Struthio camelus: one gene and its partner. The protein of the gene in region 1 interacts with the protein of each later gene in a pairwise test. Links are inferred from orthologs where the notes say so. Each region holds a gene or a part of one and is shown in the gene's direction. Other genes may lie near its edges. The genes, in order: GRAMD1C and CD151.

Region 1 (15,057 bases):
TCTTAAAAATAAACCAACAGCAATCACCAAGAAGGAGTTAAAACCAATTCTTGGGAAAATTTCTTCTGTTGTTTCATTTTCTTTAAGTAAAGTAGCCTCCCTTCACACCAGTTGGTGCCTTCTCAAGGATTCCAGGCCATTTCACAGTGAGGATCTCAATTTTCCATTGTCTTGAGCCTTTTATAGCCTTTCTAAGGGTGTGAAATGCTATTGTTTGGGTCTGGTACTGCTTTACAATCACAATAGCCTCTGTATGTTCATCGGTAAATGTCCCAAGGCCACGGAAAATCAAAACCCTTGATGATCTGTTTGAGAGTTACTTGAAGGGCTCCCCCAGGCATGCTTCTGTACAAAATCACAGTTGTATTCATAGTTATTATTATTTATGACTTGTATGGGAGTAGCACTGGTAATTTCTGACAGACAGCAGGGCCCCAGTTGTTCTAGATGCCTTATAAAAAGATTGAAATATCAGACAAGAGATAACCCATGGATGCAAAACTTTAGGAAGTAGAAGCTGGCTATGAAACTAGCAAGAACACAGCACATTACATGCCTGCTGTTCCAAAACGGCTCACGAGAGGTGCCCACAGAAAGTCACATGCAGCACCACCAAAACCCAAACCACCTGGCAATTTTTCAACAAAAAGGTTTTTTCATCAGAAACCCCCCAGTTTGCCAAAACAGAACGATTTCCTGAGATGGTCACAATTTGCACCACCCTTTTGCCAAGAATGACTTTCCAGTGCCAGGCGAGGATGTTGGTCACAGCGTGAACATGAGGGAGAATAGAAGGAGGAGAGCTGGTTATCCTACGCTTCTCCCTGTGCGCCCACAGAGGACAAAGTAGAAGCCAGTCCCTGCATGCAGTCGACAGAGACCTATGGGAGGGAGCTGTGTCAGCCAGCAGTCTAAAAACATAACAAGGAATAAGGTCTGGGAAGCGCTATTCAATGAGAAATTTCTAGAGTTTTCTTCCCAGGTCTGTAAACCTCCCCACCTCAGCCCAGACACCTGAATGGAGGAGCTGAGAGGCAACAGCTGCACTTCAACCGGCCCAGAATCAGCTTCAGAAAGCTCTGCCCCATCAAAGCCCTGAGTCGTTGAAAACGCAAGAAATGGTCACAGGAAGTCTCCTATCTTATATAACTCATGCAAAATCCAAGTTTAATCAAATTCCCTGGGTTTAGGGGTGCACAGGAACCCCCCAAGTTCATTCCAAACAGATGAGGGGAGAAGGGATGGCACCAGCTGACTGCCTCAAAGTCAGAATTTTGGCTTAGTACCCGGAACCCTGATCCATGGGAATTGGATGCCTGAGAATTAGGGACCCAAATACGATTGTAGTTCTGGATGTGCAGTCCCCTAAAATGAGTAGCCCTAACTAAAGACACCAGATGAAATAACCTCAGGTTCACACGTAATCTTACTGATGAGCCCACTGGAGCTGCTCAGGGGAAACTGAGGTCCAGACTTTGCCTTTTCCAGTTACATTACAGTATAATGTATTCAATAGTCATAAAGGTTGAAGTAGCTTGACAAGGTACTTTGACAAAGTACAAAGAGTAGTTGAAATACTCGACAAAGTTGAGGTAGTTTGACAACTAACAGTCTCTGTGCATCAAATATTCCGATATGACATATTTGGTGATTTGTTAGCATGAATTTGAGCAGGTTTTGTAATGAATACTCTTTTAAAATCCCTGTTCATTGACCATTATCTTCACTGGACACTGCTGCTTTAGCTAGAGTAGTAAGCAGCTAGCTTGTTTTCAAGGAAAGGCAACAAAATTTCTATTTAATTGTCATTTTTTTCCCTTCTTCTCCACTATAAGCATTCCAGTCTTATAATACACACCCCCAGAAATACAATTACGATTTTTATTACTTTTAATGATGCAAAAGTATCATTACTGATGTATCATTTTACACAGTCACTTAGTGGCATAGAGAACATAACAGCGCAGAAACAATATGCTCTGATGTTGTCTCTATTCACCAGGAGTTTTATTTCCACCTCCTACAATAGAATAACTGGCCTTGTCTCTGTGTCATCCCACATCTTTGATTCAATACATATCATGTAACTTCCAGCTAATTAGGAAAATTAAAATGCAAAGTTTTAGTGCCCGCTCTGTTTGATGGTTCCACTGAGAAGGTCATAGCATAGCCTCTATATGTCTTTTTTTTGTTCCTTTTTGGGGGGGAGGAAGTTGCAAAACTGGAACATACTACTTCACTGATATTTAAATACACAGTGCCCTTATCCTATTGGCATCTGGGAGTATACCATGCCAAATGCCTTGTTGACTCTGCTTCAAAGACCTTTTTATGTCAACTACTTCATTAGTAGAGTGATGTGCAGGTCCCCTGTCATGTGGGGAGTAGGGCTCAGTTCCCCAATGGGGAGGAAGATGAGTTTTTCTGGTGAAAGCACTTAAAAGCTGGCTAGAAAGAATACTGAGAAATACAGCAGGGATGATCTTGTCTTGACCTGGAAAAACATTTAGATGATCTAATAGGTCATTGTCACATAAAGCCAGTAGTTCAGGCCAGTTCTCAGCCATGAGGGGGGAAAGCTCTCTGGGACTCCCTGCAACGTGCCAACATGCTCCACGCTTAACAGTACTAATAGGGCATCTGCCAACCCATCGGCCAATCCTTTAAATAATCTGCAGGTTGATACTTTCCTGTATAAGGCCATATCTGTGGCTGTGACTGAGAAACACACAAAGCAGGCTGGAGGAGGTAAGGATGAAAAAAATCAAAGGATAAAATATATATGTGCTCTCTCCCAGTCCTGGAAGCTCTAACTTACTCTTTGGTCCCTGGAGTAAACCAGCGCAGCCCGTAATGCCAGCTGCCAACAGCGTCGGGGAACCAAAATGGTAGCTGGAGCTCAGTGCAAAGTTTGATCTTTCCAGTTGTGTCTCCTCCCCTTTGTTCATGCTCGGTAGATGGAAGAGAGGTTGACAGTAAACAGGACTCAACTTCCAACCCACAAAAAATCCTCTCATGCTGGAATGACCACCTTTTGGATGCCTTTTGAGCTCAACTTCACACTCAGCTTGTGCCCTGAGGGTGATTTACAAGCTCTATCCAGCTCCCAACTGTCAATGATTGAGCGATCAAAGACTGTACATAAATCATCTTTATTTATATGGCTTTTGCCCTGAGCTGAGATAGACTTTCACAAATGGACATGAATAACTACCTTGTGAGGATAACTGGTTCCTAATACGTCAGAAAACCGAAAGAGAAACGAAGCTTCTACTAATGATGGTACGCAGCCTTTCTTCTTGAAAAAGACAGGCAAACACACTCTTTCTGGAAAGATAAATTCCACCCTGGGGATCCAATTCAAACAAACATTTTTATTAGCTATACAGGAATGTATCTACAAACAAAACAGTCTTTTAATACAGTGTACAGCACTGGATATATAGTTTTCCTGCATCCTGAGGAAGCCCTCAGGGGAAAGTGGCTTTTTGAAAAACAGAAAAGAACCTCTCAATCCAAGCTCTGGAAATAAGCTACATTTCTTAAAATTAAGGAAGGTTTTTCGGTACTCACCCACCAGTAAGAAGAAGAGAAGTGAAGACGCTGCAGCCCTACCGAGCTTTCCAAAATGCTGGCTCATAGCGCTAAAGTATATGGCCTCACTGTCTTTCCCTCTCTCTTCAGTAGTATGGGCAAAAAAGTATGCGTGTGTTGTTGCAACAGGAGCTCACGTTCTGCCCAGTGAATGTCACACTTACTAAAGTTACCGCAGCTTTGAGTTCACAGTGCTCTGCTTGCTGCCTGGATGACAGCCACATTTTAACTTACAACAATGACTTCCCAGGGGCTGTTCTGATGAAGATGCTGAAAATGCTCTAAGAGCAGAGGGAGGATAATCTGTTCCTTTTTCGCTTCGGCCTCCTATAAACCAGAACTTTGGGCTGAGTACAGAATACTCAGGTATTCAGGAGAAGACCTCTCTGCTGCTCACCCCCCACTAGAGAAAGTGAGACAAGAAAGAGCCTTGGCTTGATTTTCTGAGCAGCTGGGCTCCTATTATTCGTACGGACCGTAAAGGAAGCTACGGGAATTCAGACTCTCTGTGGCTATATTCACCCTGTGTACGTACCTAAAATATATCCTCAAAGTTTTTGTGGGTTTTTTTCCCAGCAAAGAACAAATGCTGATTAACCAAAAGTTGATTACTTAAAACTCTATTTAAGTAAAGGTCGTCTATGCCACCCGGGTGAAGGACAAAACATAAATAAACAGATGGCCTACCTGCAAAACTAACTTGTGTGCTCTAGAGGTGAAAGCTGGGGTTCACACAAAGGTACAGACACAACACTCCTTGGTGGGAAGAGCTCCAGCAGCCCTAAACCCCGCCTGTAACATCCAGCCCTGCCAGCAGTGTTACAGCTGTACCGAGCACGGCCCTTTCCAGCTAGCTGCCTGACATCTCTTCCCTCAGATACGGGATTAGGGATTATGGTGGACTTTTCTAGAAGCCTGCTGGCTTTATCTAATGATTTTGCTTATCTTACAGAACCCTTCAGATAAATCAAATTATACTTTAATATCCAGTAAAGACTCCATTCCACATCCATTGAAACACAAATAAAGCACATTTCTGTTAGGAGAGGCATGCATGTTACTTCTGTTCCTGTACTTAGAAGTAAAAAGGACCAAAAAAAAAAACCCACCGTGAGGAAAACTGCCACAATGCTACCGTTGTATGGCTTTCTTGAATACTCTGCTCATTAATTCTGTGATTTGCATCTTTGTGTGTGGATGCTCCATAGTAACCATTTCAAGAAATTCCACGTCTGGCTTCCAAAAATCTGCTGACCAGGTGACACCAAGAGGCACAACACATTCTTTGAGTGACCATCTGTTGCTCTAGCTTTGATGTGGTGACACCTGTATCGGAGAGTAGGGTAGGCGAGAGGGGAGGACAGCTAAAGAACATAAAAGGCAAATATTTCTTCCCTGTTTTAAATGGGTTGGAAGTGTGGGAATACCTGGGATTACCAGGAAGGGATCACTCAGAAATACCGTATGTATGAAGACGGGAATTGGGACCAAAAGCAGAGCAGCACAGCACTTCAGCAGAAAGTTGAAAGGTGAATCATGAAGCTCTTCTGAAGGGAATATTGACGAGATCTATGAAAGAAATGAGTTGTAGGAGTCAAAAACAATCAAGATTTTGAAGAGCGAATAATCAGTCAAGTCAACGGTACTTGGCAGATCAAGCGAAATGAGAATGGTTTAGTCACTGGCCATGACTGCGTATCAGAGAAATCAGCATGGGAAGGTGGTATTAGATCATAGGAGTTGCAAACAGTATTTGGTTTAAACATCAAGTGTTGGGTGCTGTCCTAAAAAATCCTTAAGTGTGTCCTGATGTGTCCATAACTGCAGCTATTCCTGCAGCTGCTGGTTATATTCATTTCATCCTGTAATAGTAATTATTTTGTGAATCCTCCATTAAATAGGACATGCTCGAGCAAAATTGTCAGGCCAGCCAGCTTCTAAGCCAGGCAATACGAAGGGGTTTTGGTGTTGCTAGCAGTCATCATTTGAATGTGAAGCTCCTCACATTTGGATAACACAGTGTGATTAAGAGAGAATCTCACCTTTGGGATAAAAAGAAAAGTAATCTTGTCCCCTGAGTGTTGTCGAGAAAAGCTTGAAAAAATTTGAATTTCAGCGGTCCAAATCAAGAAAGCAAACAACAAAAAAGAAATAAAACGTGCATCCTTTTTAGCACCTTCTTGTAAAATGCAAGGACTTGCAGTTGTCAGCGTTACAACTGTCGTGGCTGGGCCCAGGGCTGCGAGGGGACCTCCGGGGGACTTCTGTCACCTTCACTAATGCAGCGGTGCGGTGCGAGGCTGAGCGCTTCCCCTTCAGGAAGGGCCTCAACTCGCTTTCTGGGGCAGCAGCGAGAGAAACCACTCGTCCGATGACAGCCTCCACGCTCGGCGGGGAAAGCAGTGCTGCTGCGAGGTTAGGGCTGCGCTGGGAGATGGGCCCGGTGGGGGGAAGCGCTCGGGAGCCCGACACGAGGGGACGGGAGAGGGGGGCGGCGGGACCTGGGGCGATGCGGGAGGCTGGGCAGCCGGAGGGGAACGGGCACCTAGTGCCCCAGCCATCCGAAGCAGCCCTGACCCAGCGCACCAACCCTCAGCTGCTCCTCCCGCCGGTAGCGCCACACTTCCCTGGCTCTCTGTAGCCCGGTGTTTGGCTCTGGGCACTGCATTTACCATGCTAAAAGAAGTGATGCTCCAGGTGAGCGGCTGTGTCCCCTGCCCTGCCATACCTGCCATGCCACCAAGGCCTTTTGCATCCCTCCCTGTCGTACCTTCCCTCCACAGTGCCGTTATCCCTGCCCCTTGCCTACTAACCAACGGGTGAGCAAGATGGAAATGTTCTTGTCATGTCACAGTGCTCTTTTATTTCCTCTCATATGACCGGAGGGCACAAGTGCGCAGGCCATCATAGTTTCAGCTGGGTCCACTAATTTGAAGGGCGCTACGTGGCGGCGTTGAACTTGAAGCCCAGCTTTCAAAATCTGGGGTGCTCACACCCCTGACAAACCATTTGGCACAGCTCAGCAGCTTTACAGCGGAGAGCTTGAGTTCCTTCAGACGAGTTCCCTGAAACGGAGAGGGCGGAAATCTTGCCTTCCCTCTCTAAGCAGGCTAAGTGTGTGAGATAGACAGATGGATAGATAGATAGATAAATGGACAGATGGATAGACAGATGTAGATGTGTTAATTACAGAATCCAGCGGAACGGCGTGTGAAAAAACAATCTGCTTTCTCCCCGCACCGCTTGTTCCCTTTATCTCACTCCCTTGGTTGCTCACCTCTGAAGACACCCCGGACCGGAGGGCAGGCCTCAGCCCCGCTCCCTGCCGTGCCCTTCCTGGGGGCAGCCCCGGCGCCCGTGCTGACCCCCCTGCGTGGGGACACGTAGAGCCATTCACTGGGGCGGGAGGGAGGGCAGAGCAGTAAAACCCGAGCTCCTGGCCCGGTAATGGCAGGCACACGACGGGGCTCGGGAGCCCACCTGGAGGAGGTCCTGGGAGAGCAGCTCTGCTGAGCAAGGGGGTGTCCCGAAAACCCTGGTTTGGCGGCGTTGCCCGCGTTGGCCCTCTAGGTGGCTCTCTGCAGTAGCGTTTGAAACGTCTTTTCCACCTACCCCCCCACCCCCAGCCCCGTTGTCAGATTGATGGGATTGCGTAATGTCGTGACATTGGGACGCGATCTTGTCTATCTCCTTCCCCCCCCCCACTTATTTGCTGAGGACTTTTTACTCAGAAGAACTGGCTCCTTAAGAGACTTGTTAAAAAAAAAAAAACGGCCTGTGATCAGCTCCTTTTGCGTCACTGAACCGCCACGAACAGCAATGACTGAAGCTGAGTTTTTTTCCTTTTTTTTTTTTTAAATCATTTTCCCCTTATTTCAATAGGATCATGCAGAAGAAGAGGGAAAGATGAAAGACAGGAGCGCGCCCGGAGGCGGGGGCTGAACTGGGCTGAAGCCTTCTCACTCTGTTGGCCGTAAAAACCCGCTCCGGGCGGCGGGGACCCGACACACCGGGCATTTTCTTTGCCGACTTCCCCCCGCGGGGTGCTGCCGTGCCGAGCCGAGGGCGGCCGCTGCCCCCCTGCCCTGCCCGCCCGCCCCGGCAGCCGGCCGCGGCCTCACCTCGGGCCCGCCGCCCGCCCGCCCCTTTAAATGGCGGCCGCGGCCCCGCTGAGGCAGTTAGCGGGTGCCGCGCCGCCCTCGCCCCCCTCCATGGTAAGCGCCGCCGACCCGCTCCGGGCTTGTTTCATTCCCCCCCCCCCTCCTCGCCGCTCTCCTCAAACCCTGCCGGGGCGCCTCCATGCCCCAGCCGCTGGCCCGTCGCCGCCGCGCTGCGCCCCCCGGGGCGAGCCGGCCGGCGGCGGGCTGCGCAGGTAGGTGGCGCGGAGCCGGGTAACGCCGCTCCTTCCCCTGCGCGCCCCGGGAGGAGCGGGGCGAGGCCCTTCGTCCTTTCCTTCCTTCCTCCCCCCCCCCCAAAAAAAAAAAAACCTGCGGCCGCAGCGCCCCGTTTCTGGAAGCTTCTGCGGCCGCCGGGGGCTCTGCGAGCGAGGCGGGGCCGCGGCTCGGGGCGCTCGGCCCGGCCTGGGCGCTGGCGGCGGCGGGAGGGGGCGACCGGTGCCCGCCGGGCTGGGCAGCCCCCTCCTCCCCTCCCTCCGGAGCGGCGCCGGGGCCTTGTGGCGCCGGGGGGGGCGGGAAGGAGCGGGGGAGCCGCTCAGTGGGGTGGGGAGGGTGTCCTGGGGCTGACGAGTGCTGCGCTGGGTAAGGGGGGGGGGTGTAAAGGTAAAATAACGGGTGTTGGCAGCGGGCCCGCAGCTGTGTGTGGGGAGAGCGCCTGGGAGGCGTTGCGTCGGTCTCTCTCTCCCACCGCAGACCCTCGAGTACGCCTCCAGCCAGGCGAGAGCAGCTCTGCTTCCCACCTTGGCCCTGGTGCCCTCTGAGCCGAGGAGGCGCCTGGTTAGAGCGTCTGCCCTGGGGTGTCCCCAGGGCCGGGCTCCAGGAGGGCGCTGGGGATGTGCTCTGCGCCTTGGCCCACCGGGGTCGGCCTCAACTCGATTTTTTTTTCTTCTTTTTTTTTTTTTTTTGGATGCCGTTCTGAACTCAAAACGTGTTTTTGGTCTCCTGTTGGCGCGTTAGGCAGCGTTAGTTGTTGGTCAGGACCTTGGAAGGGTTTTGCCCCTTTGCTGGGTGACTTAGGGGAAATGTCTTTCCCTTCCTGCGGCTCCGTTTCCCTTCCTAAAGCAAGGCTGATCTGCCCTGTGAAATAAATCCGTGTCTATCAACGGAAAGTGCTGCGGACAAGGTTTTTATAACAAGTGATACTAACAGAACTATTTGCCTCTGATGTGTGTTGCTTGTATCTTTCTAACAACAGTTTTTAGTATAGCTGCCACTTAATATAAATATTGTCTGTATACATCACATCTTATGTCAGTCTTCTGGCAGGTGTTAGATCTACGTGACCTTTCTCAGCTCTTGGAAAGTCCCTTAGGTTCCAGAGCTGTCCTGCGTGTCATGTACTGATGTCTTGTGTTAACGCCATTCTAGCTCTAAGTGCCTGCGCAGTTTCAATGTGCAAGTTCATATGCTGCTGTGCAAGTAATATGCTCTGTAAATAATAAATACAGTATACTCTGTATATGTATATTAAAAAAAAAAAAAGTAAAATCAGTGGGAATGCCGTCAGTGAGAAGCATTTCCATGGCATATACCTTGGTGAGTCTAGCAGTTGAAGTTTTCATCTAACACAGAGTCGGTGAATGGATTAACTGTAATCTTATTTCAGCACCTTTCTTCCCTGTTGTCAAATTACATACCCTGCTTGTTTGTTCACAGGAAGTTCATGAAGTGGATCATGGTCTTGTTAGCCAGCTACTTGTGGATTCAGAGGAGGCTCTTGGCTCGTGCACAGAGAAAATGCAGGTTCCTGCTCAGTATAGCTGGAGTGCTGACTGGAGCTTTTGGGTAATGTGTCTTACCTTTCTTCTAATTTGTTGGGTTTTTTTGTATGTGTACGTGTGCTAGCTTTACATCCATAGTTCTCAAATTGCTTTGTAGTAATTAATTAATAACACCTTCCCTGCCCGTGTTGTGAGGCAGATAAATTATCATTATCGCTTTACTGAAGCGTAAGCTGAGACAGAGAGGGGCAGAGCTCTTTACCTGATGTCATGTATCAAGTTAGTGGCAGGATTTCTGACTTAGGTACCTAGTCCTGTCTCCCACTTCCTTGTGTAGTTTATTAGCCTATGCAATGTCTCTCTATGCCTTTAGGAAGTCATTGTTGATGCTTTTGCTCAGTAAGAGCTGAATTTTGGTTCTTACTGTTGGATAGCTCTTCTCATGTGCTTTCCTAGTGTCTGCTTTTGGTCAAGCAAGCCTATGTGCTTTCCTCAAAAGGAAATACGCTTCACGGCTCCTATGTAGAGAGTAGTCTTTGAGACTAGAAAGAGCGGGAGGAGGGGTCTCACTTTTCTCCTCTCGGGGATGTTGTCTCACTCAAAGTGTGGAGGGTATCGTAATAAGCGCTGTCTTAAATATTCTTCTGCTGCTTTTTGGTGTTTTCTTTGCATTGCCATGAGAGAAGGTAAATATATTTATGAGTGTAGACTTAGGGGGTGTGTTTTGCTGTTAGGTTAGTGGATGGGTTGCTGCTGTTAGATAGGAGTTGGGAACACTCGTATGTACAGTCACAGGCAGGATAACCCAAACCTCTTACAAGATCAAGTGCTCTGCTCCTCAGAGTTTGACAAAATGACTCATGTTCTGCATCATGTGACGTTAGAGTAAATTGGCATGCTTCAGTGTGTGCATAGGAATGTAACCTGGACTACCGTATCCTTGTCCGTATGAGCTTACCAGAGTGTGTTCGTTGTGCTTACCAAGCAAAAGATTAAGTCATATAATAAGTAATTTGGCAAAGGCCAAAGGGAATCAGTGGCAGTCCTGAGAATAGAACTATGGAATCAGATTTCCCGACTCCATATTTATAAATCTAGCTTCTATGTCTTTTTTTGTCCGTCCTGTTAAAGCTAAGTGTATGTCTTAATGATCAGAACGTTGAGTTTGCATCTTGGGTCCTAGCTCAAATTTCCCACAGAACGCTTGTATACTTTTAAACTAAACAATAGTAACCCGGACTTAATAAAAAAGGGAGAGGCCCAAAGGTATCTCAGTAGATCTTAGAATTGCGTTGCTAGGGAGCGTTTAGATCATTCATTGTTTCTCCAGTGTTCCTGCAGTAGCAAAGACTAGGCACAGCTGTTCAGCCTGTGCCCAGCTGCATCTGCGTACCTGAATCGATGGCAAATCAGGTTGCACAGACATAGTAACTGTCAGCTATGCTCTCATTAGAGGCCAAATTAGACTGTGTAAACTGGCTTCCTCTCAAAGGTACATCTACAACCATTAATGCAGAGGGTAGTTCATGTGAGAAATGAAACCTGTTTAGATCTTGGGGTCCATTTGTTGGACCGGCAGTCTGCCGAACTTGCCAAGGAAAGGCAAGGAGGATATTTTACCATCTAAAATAAAGTCAGTGAAGAGTAATGTGTAGGATCTAGCTGTGCTATTGACTCTGTAATTTTAGAACTGAGATGCATGCCTAAGGTTAAAATTTTCTTCGGATAGTATTTGACATGCATATACAGTGCGGTATATTGTGTGTTCATAGTGCTGTTTTCTGCTTCCAGTAATGATGCATGCCTGTAACTTCTAGAGGGACTGGGATTCTTTGGTGCAGTGAAAGTTACTGTGAAAATGTAAGGTGTTATCTAGTGTGATTAAAAAGGTTACCTTCTGCCTGTAACTTGTACTTCAACAACCTCAGTATTTGTTTGTCGTTCGTGTTTATCTAGTTGTGTAAATATGACCTTGTACTTAAAACAAAGGAATTATGTAAACACTTGCCTTCTGTGAGATACTGCTGTGGCTTTTAAAGTGCTAACTGTGCTGCTTATGTCATTGATTAATCTTAAAAACCTATATCAGTGTGTCTATGCTTTTATTTATAGAAAGCTGTGGTATTGAGACATTCCCTTAGCCTCAAGGGGACTGAATGTAGCAGTAGCAAGAGGCAGAATGTCACAAATTAAAGGCAAAAATTAAAATCTTTGAATTTTCTAATTAAAATGTTATGTCACTGACTTTTTTTCTTTGCTCTTCTAGACAGAAAATATGTTTTAATAACTTACATGGTTGAGCAGCTGCTGAGTATATAGACAAATCATTAGAATTCCCTAGGTACTGAGTCATAATAAATGTATAGGTGATAACACAGAAGGCAGCTTGTTCTAATAGACAAAGCATGTGTCCCTAACAATTTACCAAGGATGATCTTAGTGTCCTGTGGCAGGTATGGATTTGTTCCGCTCGTTCCTGCTCTTAAGTCAGTATGACTGAGGAGCTGCTACAACAGTAACACTAGCCTGCGATCTTGTCCGGATGTCTGCTTTGCTGCCTGGGTGGTTAGCTTTGACAGGCTGTGTATGTCTGAATATTGTTTGGCCTACTCCAAGAACTAGCTTCTTCTAAGGAAGTACTGTGAAGTACCAAGTAAGTTTATCCAATGATGGAAACAAAATGTAGATGTTAGAGCCTGACTGGTTTGACTTCAATTTTTCACGGATCTGAGTGGGAGTAGGCAGTTGTGCCATGCCCCTGAAAGTCAGGCCAGGTATCGTGAACGCTCAGTAAGTGCTGTGAGTGCATATGGTTAGCAGTGAACTTGGGCTGGGAGACTCTGGGATATAAACTCTTCCCTGAATAGGGTGATTGTGTAGAAGTGAAGGGCAGCAAAAAAGGAACAGGGAAGAAAAAAAGAAAAACAGTTCATTGTGCTATGTCTAATTTTTGCTATCTCTGAAATGATAATACTTTTGACAGCTTTCCTGAAGGATTTTTGAGAATGAATAATTGTTCTTTACTCGTGCAAGCAACTCTTTAATCAGTAGTACTAATTGCTTTTACAAGATTTACAGGGCTTGGTACTGCTTGCAGTGTTTCTTTGAACGTGTCCTTTTCATGAATATCCTATAAAATGTTGTTTTGGGGATATTTTTAAGTTTTATTTGGAAGCCTTCTCACTAGAACTGGATAAAACTGGACTTTCTTCCCCTTTACGGAGGGGGAAGAAAAGCTTGCTTGCAAACCTGCTCTCGGAGCTTTCCTTCTTTATTGGAACCAGCGAAGCTTGCATCTACTTTTGATTAAATTGTTCTATTTGCAGATGCTAAAACTAGAAATTAATAAAATCAAAGGTGTGGTGAAACTGAACAGTTATACCTAGAAGTTGTATTTCAAGATTTTCAGTTCATTTTTTTTGTCCTTCCAGTCTTCATACTGTAATATAATTAGATTTGATATCTTTGGAAGAAGAAACCTATGAAAACCTTATGTGACACCTAGTATAATGAAGAAGGTAAAGGCATTTGAGGAAGCTAGTGAAAAGGATCCTTGCCTCAAAGGTGAGGACATTCTGTCTGGAGGCTGACTTTTTCTTTTAATTAATAGCCTACAGTAGAAACCTTGTCTCCTGGCAAGCAAGACAATTTAAAACTCCTTCCCTTCATGAAGTGGTACAAGGAAAGAGTTCTTGAAATCAAATGGATATCTCGGAAAATGAAAAGATGCTAATGAAAACTCTGGAAGCTATGTTCAAGAGTTTGGAAGTGTGAGATACCAAGGAAGTATTGGAAAGAAAGTAAAAGATGCTTTTAAAAAAAAAAAAAAAATTGAATGGAGTGGCAGTTTAAAGAATTGGTCAGTGTGAAGGAGTACAATGGATCCAAACAAATAATGCAGAGAAAAGTGAAAAGAATTGAGGCCTCTCATTTTAATAATATAAGAATGAATAAGGTTGTGTAAGATATGGAAAAGGATTTTGGAAGATGGCAAAAAATGTGGATTTGATTTACACAAAGGGCTAACTTGTGGGAGCATGTGAGAATGTATATGCTAGGCATATGAAGAACTGATGACTCAAACCTTCAGATATATATATATCCATCTGCAATGTATATAATCTTATACACACATTGTATAATCTTCTACACACATGGGTAGAAGATAATACAACCCAGATATAAGTTGACATATTTTGGGGCACAGGAGTGCTATGGGTGAGCATTAGATAAAATACCAATTGCATCTAGAGGTGTTTGAATGCTCCTTCCACCTTTTTCTGAGGAATATGAACTGGGAATATGCATTTACTCTGGGAATATGAATTATTGGGCTTGTTAAATTATGTTGGGGCAGGCTAGTATTTAAGGCCCTCTCTCAGTTGTTTCATCTTATATATTGCGTACTTGATATCTTCTTTCAGAAGAAACTCTTCTGAAAGAGTAGCAGTGTAGCTTGTTTGTTACATCAGAGGGGAATTTTTAGCTTTTTTTCCTATTTTATGTATTTCTTTATTTGCTGGCCTGAAGCAGTCTAATAAGGAAGATAGGAAGTAGATGAATGCTATGGGTCTGCAAAGAGAATAAAATCTTTTGCACACTTAACACTTAAAGAAAAAATAACTTATAACTTTGATATAAACAGCTGTTGCTATACTTGTAACACTGGTATATTTTGGTTATTTGGTTACTTATCTGGAATCTCTAGAGAGTAAGGGCTTTTTAGCCCTAGTGATAACACTAGTTACATAGAAGCAGCGTTTTAAAAGGGTGAAAAAAGACAAATTGCTTATGTTCAAGGGTTAGTCTGAATTACATGGCTTATTAGGTTAATTTCTTTTCTTTGCTTATATTCATGTGGTGTATCTCTTTTTTTTTGCTTTTGATGTAGCTGCAAACTGAGCACTGGGGTAGATCGACTGCTGTCAGCTTTCACTTTCTTACATCCCTTTGTTGGGGGGGGGGGGGGGGAAGGTGGATAAACAAATGCATCCACTACAGTTCTATTTAATGGTACCTTTAATGAAATAATTTGCAGCAACTGAGGGTAGAAAATTCTCCAGGAGCTTTTTTTTAAAAAAAAAAAAAACAAACAACTCCTTCCCCCCACCCCCCCAAATCCTTCATACAGATCTAGGAGATCTGGGATATATACTTGCCTTTTGAAAAACATAAGAACTTCCTAGACAAGGATGTATAGCCTTTTTATGCTAATGGCTACTCTGGAACTTGTATATTGTCTCATCCTGTATAGCAGATGGTTATGCACTAATTAAGTTATGTCAAGATATCTTAGTGATATCGGCAATGTTTTAGAAATCACTGTTACATAAGTAGGCCCTCCAGGTAGTGCTCTTCTGTTGAAGTTACTTGTGGAACCAATACAGTCTAAGCTTGTAATACTCATCTATGAGCTTTAACTTCACTAATGCTCTCAGATTGTGTATTTGTTGCTGCACCCTCCCCCCCCCCCCCCAACTTAATGATCAGTGAAGTCATTCAGGACTTCAGCTTGCTCGTACAACTTCTCAGCTTCTGTTTTCTGCTGTTCACACCTACTAGGACTC
Region 2 (15,440 bases), on another chromosome or scaffold:
TGTTTGTAAGCAGCCCGTGTGCATTGGCAGCATCTCCTAAACGCCGTCATGTCAGATCTGTGCTGGGGAGAGAAGGTCTCCTGGTGTCCAGCCTGCGTGCAGGGAAGAGACACAGCCCCGGTGCATTTAGATTCAGACCTGCAGCACGCATGGACTGTGCTTTGCGCAATCACATGCTGGACTGCTTTGAAATTTCTAGATGAGACTGTGTAACATTAGTAACAGCTTCTCTCTTAACTATTTATTTTTTTCCTCCTCATTTGCTGTAGCTTTAACTGTTGGTTTTTTTTTTTTTTTGGTGACTGTGTCCACTTCTCTACAGTTTTGCTTTTCATCCTATTTTTACTCCCAAACTCTCAACAAAAACCATTCATCACTATTTTTGAGTGACTTGCCTCTGTGAGGGGAGACAGAAATGCTTTCATCTGTATAATTTAGATATGTTGTGTGTAGATGACTCAAAGTTGAAGTGAAATTGTCAGGAGTTTCAATTGTCAAGTGTTTTTTTAATTGTGCTAAGTCTCAAAGGTCAAGCAAAAAGTGAAATGAATATGCAAAGGATGGTGGGTTTTAGTGTTAACTTTCACAGGCCTGTTGGGGAAAAAATGGTTAGCTATTTCTTTAGTCTCTAAGAGATAAAGGTTAAGATTTTCAAAAATAACTGACCTCTGAAAGTCAGGCTCCCTTCAGGAAGGTTAAACTGAACACACAGGAAAATCAAAGCGTCTAAAATCTGTAACCTTTAAATATCTCTCCCCTTTTCCTTCCCTCTACCTTCGCATTTATCTTGTTTTGAAGCTTAAGCTGTTTCGGTACTGTAGATCATCCAGGGCAGTTAAGTTTGGAAATAATTTTGAATCACATTCTGCAGTCCTTTGGTGATTTTCTAGTGGGCCAGTGGAACTAGAGGGAGTTTTACGTAAGGTAATGGGCTCCAGAAATCATCTAGCAGTAACAGATGCTACTGAGACCCTATGCAAGAAAGGGTCTCTGCTTGGAAGTTGCTTAGCCTGCTTGGCCAGTGGGTTTTCAGCTAAGGACAGTTGAGTTCAGGGACAGTACATCAGGTGAAATTATTGAAGAAAAATTATTGAGCTTAAAAAGAAACCCTGTCTGAACTTAAATTTCCAGTAGCCTAGTAGAGCAAATTTGCTCCTCTTTAGGCTTCTTATTTCCCAGAGAGGAACTTGAACCAAGTCCTGTCTCCCCTCTCTAGGCACCCCAGCTGTACGCATCAAACATTTGGAATATATTCCCATAGTTTGGACTTCCTCCCACAAATCCCTAGGGTATGGTCTCTAATGAGCAGAAGGGAATATTTTGGCAGCTCCTTCAGGGACCCTGATTCTGCTGCCACTGAAGTCAATGGCAAAGCTCCTGTTTACACAGGCTGAAACAGGATCTGCTCCAGGATATTTCTGTCCCTCAGACGAGTCTCACGGGTGCTTTGCTCTGTTCCTTTTGCAGGAAGGTATCGAGGATGGAGCTGTGATCTTTCTACTTGGAAATAAAACGGATGCTGTGCTGAGAGGGGCCCGGAGTGTGCCCGAGGTGGAGGGCGAAAGGCTGGCAAAGGTGTGACTCTGTGCTCTCCTGCTCTACGGCCTCCCTGCGGCTGTGAGCAGGGCAGCCTGGGTGGAGGGGAGCCCTTCTGAACTCGGAGCCGTTTCCGAATATGGTACCTTCTCTCTCACCCCCACCCGTTCTCCAATGCAAACGCGTGCCAAGGTCCCTCTGGTACCAGGGAGGATGAGGTGGCCAGCAAGTGGCAGACACTGGCCCTTGGGGAATGCTCACGTGCTTCTGCTTAGGCTGGGTGCCTCCTTACAGTGATGCTCAGCCTTTCTGGGGGAAACATCCATGGCCATTTTCCCATTTGTTTTCCCATCTAATGCATGCTCTGCACAGTCCTCCCTCGCTCCTTGTGCTTGCCTGCCCGGTGCCGCCTCACCGCTCACCTGCTGGGTGGGAGAAGGAGGGCAGGGTCTCAGAGTTGTTCCATGTGCTGGGCTCTCTAGCACAAACGTGAGACAATCCAAGTACCCTGGGTGGAAATGGTGTCGCTCCTTGCTTCATACCCAGCGTTCCCTGTGGGATGCTCCAGCTGGGCCCTGCATTGCTGAAAAACCACCTCATGTTCCCACGAAGGTGAGCAGGACGTGGGGTCTCGCCCGTGCCACCAGTGGGGGGCACAGTGGTAGCAGCTGCTCCCAGCAAAGGGAGGTGACCCCTGCAAGCGTGCTGGGCAGGGGGAAAGGGCTGGCTCCCGAGGGTGCTGGTGTACAGTGCGGGGAGCCTGCAGCAGACACTGGGCCTTCCTTGCTCTGCTCTCTGCAGGAATACAAGGCTGTCTTCTACGAGTGCAGCGTGATGACTGGCTATAACATCGTGGAGCCCATGCTGCACATGGCCAGGTCAGTGAATGGGCTTAATTTGAATATTTAGTCAGAAAAGCTTTGTATAATATTCCAGATTTTAAGATGGAATTTTCAGTTTGAAATCTGTATGCACCTGTAATGGTTTTTCTTCCCTACTATATTAAGCATCCTTGAAATTTTGTAACAAAAATGTCCTCTTGCTTTCTCATATTGCTTCCTTTCCTGCTGCATCATCTTGTTAAATTCACAGCAGGACTTAGCTGTTTATTAACTGGGATGATTTACTTAGTAGCTAGGTAAATCACATCTCCCATAGCACATGCCTTTGGTGTGCTTTATTGCCCTATCTCTGCAGGGGATGACCCAGTCAGGTGAAGTGAGCGTCCTGGGATCCTGCCATCAGTCAGGGAACTTGGAAATAAAGCATAGACCACTCAAGCCCCAGTCTGGTGCTCTGACAGCCATGCCGTCTCTTCTTGTACATGTCAAGTCTTTCTCCCTGGTCCTGCCCTCCTGCAAATTCATGCTTATTTTCTGTGTGTGATTTGTTTACCCAGTGTCCAAACAAGCCCAGCTTTTTGGCCAGTCACTTTCAACATCCTCGATGGCCCTGGCTGATGGGGGATACAAGGGCACAGAAAAAAGCCTTGACAGGAAGATCTCAGTATCCAGGTTGTGTTTTTGATCTGTGCGGCTTATTCCAGGTTGCTGACAGCACAGGAAGACAGGCAGAGAGAGACTGCCCTGCAGCTGGAAGATGTCAGCAGGAGGAAAGGGTGCTGCACCTAAGGCACATCAGTAAGTCAGCGAGAGACTCATGCCAACTCTGGTGCGTGAAGGTGGGGCTCCTTTTCAGCAAGCTGAATCTGATGGTATCAGCTCTGCAGAGACTTGGGGAAGGTGCAAGTTTTCCCCAGCTGGAAATATGAAGGGACTAAATCAGGACAAAATGTACATATTGTCTGCGCTGTTCCATTTCCCACTGTTGCACAGAGCCCTGATCTCTGGGAGGCCTCTGCTTCTTTGAAGGAACTCTGCTGGTATTGGTTAATGGCACAAATTGGGACTTCTTTCTGTAGTGGTTGCTTCTCTATAAAATGATGAAGTCTTGTTCCTTTTCTGTCTGGCGAAGATGTGGCCTAGCAGCAGAGAGCGGAGGACATCATGGGCTTTGTTTTAATTAGATGATGTTATTGTTCAATTGTGTAAGAAATAAAGAGATTATTTTAAATTAAGGCTTACTCTAGGTAGTGACCTATCTCTCTGCAAGAGCAGCATCTCCTCTTGGCTCTGTAATTGCAGAGCCCAGCTGAAGGCCTGCTGAGATCAACGGGAGTGGCTCCATCAGTTCCCATAGGATCTGGATCCAGCCCCCTCTGTTTACTGGGAAATTTGGTTTGACTTGCTAACACTGCAGTTAACTGATTCCATTTGTGGATACAGTACAATCGAGTAAACTATTTATCCCAATGGCTTTCTTCATTTTGTTACCCTGTCGGACCTTGGCGCTGTCCTCTCATACTGTTCACAGAATGCAGAGCAGTTGCCCTGGGGCTCGCAGGTGGCCTTATAAAACACGTGCTGTTGTTCTGTAACCACCTGTTGCAGGAGCTGTGCAGTACCTACCGGGGGTGCCATACAGAGCCTGCTTTAAGGCTGAATGCTGCCTGTTTCCTGCCACTCTCATACTCTTTCCTGAAAAATCTCCAGCAGTTAGGAGCTGTCTTCTCTGCAGTACTAAGAGGTCATGCCCAGATCCCACCTTTCTGGCTTGACTGTAATTCTTTCAAACGTGCTTGGTGTGGAAGCACAAGGCAGCTGCCCCAGCTGTAGAACGTACCTAATCACCTTGCAGTGACCTTGTGGAATAACCTGCTTCCTGGCAAAGGGTCTGAGCGAGAGCAGAGTTTGGACCTGTGCCCATTGGGAAAGGTCCCGCTTGTCACCAAGAAGCGGGGCAAAGCATGGGGAAGTGAGGGATAAGATAGCAACGGCTGCCTGGTCTCTGGGCCCACATGAGTACCTCTCAGCTGGTCTGACCCTGTGGGACACTCTACATAGCTGCCGCTGCCTCTGTGCTTGTGCATGAAGCCCTGTTCTTTGGGCCGTGATGCTTTCTGTGTGCTGTAGCTCAGTCACCCTAAAGGCTTATGGGACTAAGTGAGCTTTTTGTGATGCCCTGTCCCCTTTATTCTGGAGCCTATTTCTGTATGTGACTTTGAAATCTTGGGTGCAAGATGTGAATACTGCAGCTATGAAACTGTTTGCTCAGCCTTATGGTATAGAGAACGCCTATATTTATCCACTGTCCTTCCTCTCTTGGGATAAGGCAATTACTCAGACTCCAATTCTGAGCGTCTGTTTGTTGCCCAGATTTCTCTGGGAAGATCCCGTGCAGGAAGAGTGCTTTGAGTCACCTACAGCCTGTCAGCATTACAAAGATTTTCCATGATTCCTCCCTGTGTAGTTTCCTTCTGATAGGAAAGAGGAAATTTCTCTCTGGAAGAGTTAGGATTCCTGACCAAAAGGAATAGTTAAAGATAATAAGCCCGTCCGTCCTTACTGCTGACTGGCTGTGTTTCAGACTTGTTGAACAGCTAGTGGATTTAATTGCAAGAACACTTTTCAAAGACCAGGAAGCAGTAAGTTAGAAGAGGTCCTGCAGGGACCAGGGCTGTATATGCTATACACAGCACCAGCCAGGCTGCCAGAACTGCTTTTGTTTGCAAAAAAAAAAATATGTTTGGCAAGAAAAATCCTCTCTATTGTTCTCAGAAAACACCTGTAATCTTTAGATTGCTCAGTGATGACCTGGCTTGTTTTCCAGTCAATGTGGCTCTGAAGGACCATGGATGTTATCACTTGTCTGTCCCTGCTGGTGGTACATACAGGAGGTTTATAAAAGCTGATCAGGAACCCTCGTTTTGGGGGCAGCACAAGAGCAATTCATCCTGTTTTGTTGTTTTCTCTTTAAAGCAGCTGGAGTTTGGCTCATCAGGGAAGCCAGTGCAGAGAGGAGAACTGGCTTCCCAAATGTTTGGGGCCATGTAGTGCTTTCAGAGAAGGCACATTGTCACCTTATGTCTGTACTTCTAGAACTAGACATATATTTAATAATATCTCATGTACCCTTCTCACCGGAATTAGGAATATGGTTGTTCTGTATCCTTGTGCCATGGCTCAGTTCCAGCTGAATTAGATACGTTTGGATGTTACAGAACTAATCTCTGCATCTTCAACCAGAGAAATTATCGCTCGTTTCCCCTTCTGTAAACTGACTACCGGTACAGGAGGTACTTCATTTTAACTTCTTTTTTAGCAAGGACAGGGTGGACTTTTCTTTCAGCTGTGATGGGGTGGCACAGAGTTTGAGCAGGTTGCACTGAGACAACAGTAAGCACCAGAGTGTGTGTTACATTGGACAGGACAGGGATCTTCCCTTGTCTCCCCACAGAATGTTTGAATTTCTTGTTGGAAAACCTAGACGCTTTCAGTATGGAGGGGCATGCTGTTGGTATTTGAACCATTCTGATAACAGACCCAAACTTGTCTAGGAACTGCTTTCCACAAAATTCCTAATTTTTCTAAGTCCTTCTGTTTTTTGTCAGAATCTCTCCTGCTTTCAAATGGGAGCCTTGGGAGCAGCCATCCTCTGCAAGCAACTGCAGGAAACAGCAGCAATAAATAAAAGCAGATAATGATGAGATCCTGAGATGGTATGAGACTAGGACAGGATGTAAAAATAACTCTGCCTAGGGGCTTATTCCTGCACTGTATCGGCTGCAGTTCTTGGTGGACAGGTGACTCTTTGCACATAATTTGTAAGGCACTTTGAAATCGTATCACAAGAAGGCACTCCTCTTACAGTCTGGGAAATCTGTCCTGGCACATGTCACAGTGCAGCTGCGTATACAGTCAGAGCCAGGGACAGAGGAGAAAAAAGCAGCTGCTCTAATAAGCAGCCAGAGTCCCCCAAAACTTCACACAGAGGCAAAGGGAACCCACTCTGCCTTTAGTTTTGCTTGTTTTCTTTCATGTTAATATGTTAGGGATAAGCATAACAGGATTAGCCTGACAGCATCTCTTTGAAAGGCCAAAAATGGGATTCCAGAGAGAATATTAAGTCAGCGTTGTTTAAAACCTTCCCACAGGACAAATACAAGGAACCCCGAAGGCTTGAGAAGTTTCTTCTCTTCTGCCTGTAACTGTGATGGATAAGAGATTAGAGGGAAAAATACCCAGCTTGTCAAATAGTAGAATTACTGGTGTTACTAGAAAAAGCCTCACTTAGGATAAACAAGAATCCTGATTCTCTGTTTTCTTTACTGCAGTCGCCTCCACTTGAGCACGCTGGAGACAGCACAGCCTCTTTACACCCACCTCGCCCACCTCCCTGTCAGGATGGAGGCCCAGGCAGCAGCACGGCAGAGCCAGGGTGCACGGGCAGCGCAAGCTCGCGTCATCCCTCAGCTGTTACGTGCATGCATCCGGCTCTTCGTGGGCTTTCCGGGAGCATGTCCTGCTCCTTCCAGGGCAGCCTGTTCCTGTGGCACCGCTGGCACCCCGAAGGCATGCCAGCACACAGCCGCTTACACAGATGCGCTGGCCACTGTGGCGCTACTTGAGTTTCTTTATTCCAGCAGCCCGAACGCCAGTGGATAGTTTCCACTTACATGCATTTAATCCGTTCCTGTCCTGCTATGGGGACCCTGCAGTCTCTCCTGGATTATTTTCTGTCCTATTACCACTTTCTGTTCATGTCCTTTTCATGCACTTTTGACTTGATTAATTGCTTACTCCATAGATAGTGAACGAGCACCTGTGCTCCAATTATAAACATACCTTGTGTTCAGTTCATGCTATGTAGCCAAACAGAGTATTAAAGATATCTCCTGGTCCATTTATTTCTCCAGTAGATCTATAGCAGTGCAGTTTTGAACTGTTTAGCTCTCTGAGCCAGTCATTCTGCTTATTACTTATCTAGCTGCTTATGAGTCACATTCATACTTCAGTTGCACAACTACAATAATCAGACTCCAGATTCTTCATGCCTGCGAGGTATGCTTTATGTGTTCATTAAGCCACGCAATTTAATAAGGCCCAGGTCCTGCAAACACTAGAGTAGCTGTATGCCTTTTCTTAGTCCCGTAGAACTGGCCAGGTAGAGTCAGTTTTTTCAAGGCAAAGGCTACGTATCTAAATGTTAACACAAGTTGCATTTCTACAGGTGGTGGCAGTGGCTCCGGCAGGTGAGCAGGCAGCAACCAAAGAGCGCATTCAAAGGGCAAAAGCATTGCCGAAAAGCCCGGCAGTACCATTTCCTGCGTGATGAGACCGTGCTGCTGGGTCCATGGCTACCCCAGTAATATGCTGGGGGGAGCAGGGTCTTGTGGTATACCTCCCCTCTGCCTTCCCGACCCGGCCCACAGATGACACACAGAACAGCAGTGCTGTCTGACCATGCTGGTTTGCTGACCCAGATCTGCCAAAGTGGGAAGCTACGGTCTCTCTTGTTTGTGCGTGAGAACCCTGGACACAGGAAGAAGGCAGCCAAGCGCCGCTGCCCCGGGCTCTGCCGAGGAGAGCAGGGTAGAGTAGGGACCTATGTCTCTCTTATTTTTGGCCTCCTGGCCCTGCCACATGCTATCTGTGAGAATCTGAGCAAACCTCTAAGCATCTATGTGTGATTAGTTGCCTGAGTCACCTCTGTTTAATCGCTTGGCTCTCCAAGGGCTCTAAGCTAAAGCCCAGCTAGGTTCCCAGCAGGCTGAGGAGATGGGAGTGGGCTTTTCTTTCCCCCTTGTGCTCCTTTTCTTTCATAATGCTGCTTATACTTAAAATGGAACTTTTGTGCCTTCTTGTTTTCACTTCATACCTGGATTTTTTTCTTGCACCTTCCAGTTCTGTGTGAAGCAGGCTCTTCTCTACTGCTTTTGGTCTAACGTGGCCGCTATTATTTTGAAAGCCTTCCTTCTCTCAGCCTTTCTGGGGCCCCAGTGCCCTCTCTGGTTCCCTGTAAACTGGATGATGTCTAAATAATGCACAACAAAACTGTTGTGGAGTGAGTCTCTCCTCACAGTCCACACGTGGCTTCTTGGGCTTGGCTGACTTGCCTAGAAAAAGTGTGGTGTCAGTTTATTAGTCTGTTTGCTCCCTGTGAGAGAGGGAGGGACGGAGCGATGCGGGACTGGGAAGAGGGGCAGGAGAGGCAAACACCCAGGGGGTCCTAATCTGCTCATTTCCCTCCCTCCCTGCTCAGATCTCAACTCTTCCTTCCCGTCACCCCCCCAAAACTGCGTGTTGAGACCACTCCTGTGGTCCCTCATGACCAAGGGCAGTGAACCAGGGTCCCTCCCCTGCCACCTGTCTCTGCGCGGAGCTGTTTTCTCGGCGCGGAGGCATTGGGACAGAAGTTGAAATGAGATAATGGGAGGATGAGGCGATGCGCCGGTCAAGGCTTGATTTCCAGGCTGTTTCGTGGAAAACTCTTTTTAACAAGCAGCTCTGAAGCGTAAAAGAAAGCCTGAAACTCGCGCTCGTTGCAATATGGAGGGAGGTGCCCGCCCGGCGAGGGACCGCCCCTGGGCAGGGCTGGGCGAGTCGCACCGCCCTCCCTCCTTCCTCCCTTCCCTCCCTCCGTCCTTCCTTCGCTGCTTTCCTCCCCCACAGCAAGGCGGGTCGCGGCGTGAGGCAGCGCGGAGCGCTCCGCCGGCTGCGCACGGGTGAGACGGGGCGTCCCCGAAATGGCGGCTTCTCGGGGCGGGCGGGGCCGGCGCCCCCCCCCCCCCCCAATCCCCGCGGCCGTTAGCGGGAGCGGGGTGCGCGCGCTCCCCTTCCCCCCCCCCCGCGGCCGTTAGGGGGGCGCGCGCGGGCGGCCGTTAGCTGGAGCGGGGCGGGCGGCCCCCCCCTCCCCGCAGCCATTAGGGGGGCGCGCGCGCTCCCCTCCCCCCCTCCCCGCGGCCGTTAGGGGGGCGCGCACGCTCCCCCCCCCCCCCCGCAGCCGTTAGCGGACCGCGCTGAGGGGAAGGGCGTCGCGCTGTGGGGACGGGGCTGGTTCGTACCTGAAACCGGACTGAACCCCCTCCCCCCCCAACCAAAGAGCAGAAATACTAATTAACATAACAACGATTAATGGTATTTAATAATAATTAATAATAGCAGCTAATAACATCTGCCTCCCGCACGTAGGTGCCGCTTCGTTGCCTGTCCGAAGATGGCTTGGGAGCTGGCGCGCGCCTGCCCAGCGTGGCGCAGACCCACGGCTGCCCGGCGCGCGGCCCGGGCTGGCGTCGCTGCCTTCAGTCGCTGACGCGCCCCGAGCGTGTCTGCGGTGCGTCCCACGGAGGGTCGCTGGCGCGCGTGCGGCTCTGAGGGTGCTGCCGGGATGGCCCGGCAGCTCGGGGAGCCGGGCTGCAGGGAGACGAGGCTGAAGGCAGGTGCTGTGTGATCGGCCCACCTGTAACGGTACAGCCTGGGAGAGGGGAAGCGAAGGGCTGCCCGTGGGTGTGCTTGGTGCACCTGCAGAGTCCGCTTCCTTTCCGCGCTGTTACGTTCTCCCCTGCCCTGCTCCCTCCCGAATGGCGTGCTGAGGTACGGAGCAGTGAGGTGGCTTCTCTGTACCTGCCTGTGATCACTGAAGGTCAGCTCTGGCCCTTCAGTTGCAGGGCTGTTTTTCTTCCTGAAAGACTCAGGGCACTTTTTAGAACTCCTCCCAGGTTTTGGTTTTGCGTTTTTCTAAAGGTGTTTTCATTTATTGCTGAAAGCTCAGAAGCGTTGTGCAGTCTGTGCTTTAGAAAGGTGTTCTGAATGTTGCCCTAATCTTGTGAAACTGTTTATTTCTGTCTTGTGTTCAACTATGTTTCCTTTTTGTTCAAGTAAGGCATGGCCTTTGTACTCGTAGAACTGTTGGAGGCAGAAGAGGGGGAGAGAGGCCTTGTTTGCTGGAAAATCCAGGCTATGTTCCCTTTTGTTTGCTTTCTGGAAGCTGAATCAGACCTGGCGATGGGTTATTGTTGCAGCATAATATCATTTGCCACCTTTCCCATTAGTCCTTGCTCCATGTCATCTTATGAAGAGCAGAAACTGTTTTTAAAAAATCCTTACTCTTCTCTAGTGCTTTTCCATCAACATGTTGCAGTAGCCTATTGGGTTTTAGCAATTATGTATCTTTATTTCAGGCTAATTTGTAGCATCCTTTAAATTACCCTACTTCTCTTCCTCCTTCTCTCTATACTGTTTCAGTTCTTGCTCTGAGAGTTAATATTAAGTTGTCTGCTAGCACAAGGGTTAATTAAAATGACATCACCCATCAGAGGTAACACATCACCCATCAGAGGTAACCTGCACTAGCAGCTGTTTTGTTAAACAGCTTGCAGACAAGTCCCTTATGCTGAAAAGTGTCTCTTTGCCATCTGTGAGGCCATCATCTAGGTTGTTAGAGAAGCTTTCGGCATGACAAGATACCGTCTGGGTACTATTAAAACAGAAGGGTCTCTGAACTTGTCATTATTCAGACCAAAAAAGGACTGCTCATGGTGAAGAGACCATAACACCTTCCTCTTCTGAGATGTTGCAGCCTGAAGTGAAAAGGAACTGTCTCAGAGAAGTCCCAGCATCCAACAAGTTTGGACCTTGATTCTGACCACAGACAACATTAAGTGCTAACATAATATTGCTAACTAAGCAGGGCTGCTAGTAGACAGGAGACCGTTAAATTCATAGTAAAGCAGGTGTTGTAGAAGTCTACTAGCCTTTAACATCAACTTGAGTCTAAAATTCTTAGTATAACTGCAGATTTTATAGGCATCTGGTAGCAGGCCACTGTAAGTTTACTTTCTCTTGTCTCAAGGCAGGCCACTGTAAGTTTACTTTCTCTTGTCTCAAGGCAGGCCTGTTACAGGAGGGGGTTTGCTCTTAAGGACCGTGCAGAGAGCAGAGCGCTAAGATAAACTGTGACAGCCTGGTTGAGATTGTGGCTCTCCTTCTCTTGGATCTAATATAGAAGTAATCCCCTGGGTTAGCAAGGCATACCAACCTAAAAAGACTTTTTACAGACACTTAAGCTTCCCAACCCTTTTGTATGGAAGTGTCATGCCAATGTGGGAACGGGCAGGAAACTGAGGCAGAGTCATTCGCCGTAAGTCAGCGTTTGAGATAAACATGACCATGTTTCCTGCCTTCCAGGGCTTTCCACAATGATACTTGTTTTGTTATTGTGTGAGATGAATGGCAGCAGCACTGTACAGCATTGCTTGTTCTTTTGCTGCCAGGTGATATTATTAAGAGCAAAGCACGGCTTGTTTTGTCAGACTGAAGTATGGCACAGGAGAGATGGACCGTCTCGCCTCAGTCCTGCTGGCTGGCAAGCCCTGATAGCCCTGTATAGTGTCGCCAGCTTTGCTGATGCATGCAAGCACTTGTGGCAGCGACATCCGCTAGTGCAGCCTGGCGCCTGCTCTCCCTTTGCCAGGCACTGCCCATCTTGTCCCTCCTTGTTTGCAGTATTTCTCTCTTCTCCCACCCTCCCCCTCCCCCGCCTTCCCCTAGCCTGCAAATAATGCACCCAGCCTGAGTGAGTGCTGGCATACTCCTCTGCTAGTCTACTGCTACGCTGATGTACGTTTAGTGTTGCTTCTCTTCAAGTACAGTAAGGCACTTGCGGTCAAAACCTTGGCTCTGCAAAGGATATTTTCAGTGTGGCCTCCTAAAGTTTGTGCTGATGGGTGTGAGAGATTCTTCAGCAAGGGGGTGGAAAGAAGCTGCTTATATTCCTTTGTCAAGTAAAAAAGCGAGATGGGGGTGGCTGATGTAGTGCTATCTATCCCCCATAGGGAATTCCTGAGAGGCGTATTATGTTATCCTCAGCTAATAATAATTGTTGTTCAAATCTGTAACTGTTTCCCAGGTACATACACAGGCCAGGTAACAATTCCCTTGCTCTTGAGACAGCCTTGAAGGGATTGACTTGTGCTGGGTGCCCTTTAGTTGGGGTGTGCCCCAGGCACGTTCACTACTTCTGCAAAGTTTGGCTTCCTCTCTAAGGACTGCATTGGGCTACTTCTTGTGCATAGAAGGAAGAGACATGCATGTGTTACATGTGTCTATGGGACTCCACAAAGATTCCTAGGGAAAGAAAATAATATACTAAACACTTCTACCACCCTGCATACCTGGATGTAGCAAACTAGCCTGTCAGGTATTTCTAGGTGATTTAATCACTTGTCAAGCAATTCTTTTGTCCCTGTGTGTTTTCCTTTTGCCTTCTGACTAAGACAGAAGCTCAGAAGGATAAAAGATGAATTGACTGATCCTGAAAAAGCAAAAAAGGGGAGCTTTTTCATTTTATGTCCCACTCTACTTCTGTTGTCCTCAGTTATCTTGTCGATCTTATTCTTTAAACCTCATGAAAAGAACATCTCATACTCATCACCTCTATTCTGTGCTCAAGTCTGCTCCTGGGCTTGACACGAGGTTATCTCCAGCTGCTCTTTGAGCACATGCACCAACAACTGAGGTTATGGAAGGCCTGAGGTGGGGCGACCCTCCTGGAAGCTGAGAAAGGCTGAAATTTCCCTGTCTGTGAGGAGCAGAAACCTGGTCACTGTGGTTGTTTAAAAGCCCCCAAAATCCTGAAGATGAAGACTAGGTCTCCTTCCGTCTCACTTGCTCATCCTTCCTTTCAAACCCTGAATGTGATTTTCTTCTTCCCTGTGCAGTTGCGTGCACTGGCAGCCACCACAAAGCCAAAATGAAGTGAATAGGGTCACTGTAAAATGGCTCTATTTTCCCATTCCTTTTTGCGTGTGCGCTTTTGCAGAGCTTCCCCTCAGGACAGTGGCCCCATTTCAGTCTGGGAGAAATGCCCCTCTCCCCTGCTGGAAACCTCAGTGCAGCAGGTGAGGTAAAGAGCAGCTGATCTACGGCATACGGATGAGGTATTGTGATGAGTCTGCCAAAAGCATTGCACACTGTCCTTCCCGATGGTGCCAAAGGGTTCATCACCGCTGAACCCGGTTGGCAAGTATCAGCACTACAACAGGAGCGTTGCTGGCTAGCGTAGCTCTTGCCAGGGCCCTGCTGCCTCCTGCCTGTCAGACTCCTCTGCCCGTGGTCTCCACAGCCTGGCAGCAGAGGAATGAATCCGATCTGTGCTAGTACTCCCCTGTCCCGGCTGCTGCACAGTAAGGGACTTAAGGGAGAAAAAGAGGGACTAGGAGGACAGTTACTATTTTGCGCCTCTGCTATTTCATACCGGAATAAGAGGTGTGTTTTGGGGTCTTGGCCACATTGTAGTATGACTGGTTGTGTCTGTGTTTTTAACTTAAATTCCTCTTGCTGGTGGGTGATTACGATTCTCCCATCCTTGCTGTAAAAGTGCTGTGCAGTTCTGTAGCTGCATTTCAAGTAGTAGTGAAATAAGCTTGAGATGTGACTGAAAGTGTAGCTGGCTCCTTAGAGGGATGTAAGCAAAGGTAGCTGCCGTGACACATGTCAGCTGGGGTCTTCATGGAAGTTATTTTTATATATCTATGTATGTGTACTTTGTGCATGCTTTTGATGCTAGCAGTTCTAGGCATAGTGGAAGCAGGATACCACTCTAGTGGGATAAAGGAGGACAGTCGGGAATTACTTTCTGTGGAGGTTAACAGAGGGCTCTTTGGCAGGATAGTGCCTGCATCCATGGTGTTTTTCTGCTTTTTGCATCTGCCGCGGGCACTGCTGAGTGTGTATGTAAGAGGTGAGCGTGTCTGAGGAAGAGCAAAGGAAGTAGGAAGCAGCACAGGGAGAGCAAAGACAAAACATCCTTAAGAAAGGCAGGAAATGAGAAGTGAAGGAGGTGCAGGAAGGGGTGTTGTTCAAAGGGTTGATCCTGGCAGCAGTAATGAGGCTTTATAAGGAATAACTGAGCCAGAAGTAGGTGACATAAAGTGTTTGGCATTGACTGCTGTTCCTTATCTATTGCCTGTACTAGATCTAAATTGAGAAAGAGCAAAGTTCACTCTTCCAGCCCCAGTCCTCTTTCCTTTTGTGTGTGCTTTCCAAGGGACAGCTCTCTTGATTATGCTAGAGATAAACAGAGTGGTGGGGAGGTGGTAGGGCGGTGGAAAGAGCTGTGAGGCTCCATCTAGGTGCCTGTGCTTAGATCTGTAGTTGCAAAGTGAAAGCTCCACACTCCTAAAAAGCTGTGGAGTTAGGCTGAAACCTGCAGTGCACTTCCCAGATGTCTCTGTCCCCATAGGATTGGGGCAGGCTGAGAGGAAACAAACACATTCTGGAGATGCTGTAGGAAAAAGATCTGGCTGTACTTTACAAATGAGCGAGGTGAAAATACCTCACTCTGGAAAAATATCTGCCCTTATGTGGGAGAATGGGAGCGTTTCTTGTAGGCAGGAGGAAGTCAGTGTCATTTAGAGGCTTACTGGTGGCACCTGCAAATAGGTTTTTTGAAAGAAGGACAGAAAAGTTTTTTAATAGAAGGAAAGAAGGTTTTGGGGGCCAAAACATCAGATGTATTGTGATGCAGTCAGCACTCTGTTGAATTATGTTGGTGGGTGCCTAGATGTTTCTGAGTGTTGATGATGTCAGAGCAGGGTGTGTTTCCACTGCTCTGCTGGCTTTTAGCTCTTAGTGCCTGGCTCACTGATAGATTATGCACGTGCCTGTTCTTGGCACTAACGCTTTGCAAAGTGTAGTCTCTGATCCGTCAGTAATACCATCAGTGGGATCACAGGCCCTCAGTTCAAATCCATAACGCAGTAGTCACTGGTATCCTTATCCTACTGCTTTCAGTGAAAGGTCTCGTTAGAAAGCAGGCTAAATCCCTTCCTTAAAACCTTGAGATGTGTCTCTGTGTGGAGTGGCAGACCACAAAATCTGATGTTACGTATTTTTGAGGCTTTAGGTCTTGGTTCAGCTTTTGGCTCTGCCGGAGTATATCGCTTCGCTATGGAAAATGAGGCTGGTAACGCCTGCCCTGACTCTGTCTTGAGTATCTAAATTTTGAGCTCCTAGGGGCTGAGATTCACAGCTCTGTGCTGCACCTGGCAGGCTGGTGATTTGGTC

The links.
Region 2: the proteins of GRAMD1C (region 1) and CD151 interact in binary tests that used the Homo sapiens proteins (3 or more experiments, as listed by UniProt). The link is inferred for Struthio camelus from reciprocal best matches to the Homo sapiens genes GRAMD1C and CD151.

Annotation. Positions count from the first base shown.
Region 1 is NC_090942.1:96,523,447-96,538,503, reverse strand, and holds the start of GRAMD1C (protein Aster-C), read left to right. Parts: upstream 1-7,685; 5' UTR 7,686-7,745; coding exon 7,746-7,808; intron 7,809-7,887; exon of another isoform or gene 7,888-7,966; intron 7,967-8,336; exon of another isoform or gene 8,337-9,266; coding exon of another isoform or gene 9,267-9,305; intron 9,306-9,425; coding exon 9,426-9,554; intron 9,555-15,057. Other genes in the region: myelin protein P0-like, read right to left, coding at 3,574-3,640. UniProt on the Homo sapiens protein: Cholesterol transporter that mediates non-vesicular transport of cholesterol from the plasma membrane (PM) to the endoplasmic reticulum (ER).
Region 2 is NC_090946.1:16,209,188-16,224,627, forward strand, and holds the start of CD151 (CD151 antigen), read left to right. Parts: upstream 1-8,990; 5' UTR 8,991-9,100; intron 9,101-15,440. Other genes in the region: CRACR2B (EF-hand calcium-binding domain-containing protein 4A), read left to right, coding at 1,468-1,575, 2,338-2,414, 3,083-3,167. UniProt on the Homo sapiens protein: Structural component of specialized membrane microdomains known as tetraspanin-enriched microdomains (TERMs), which act as platforms for receptor clustering and signaling.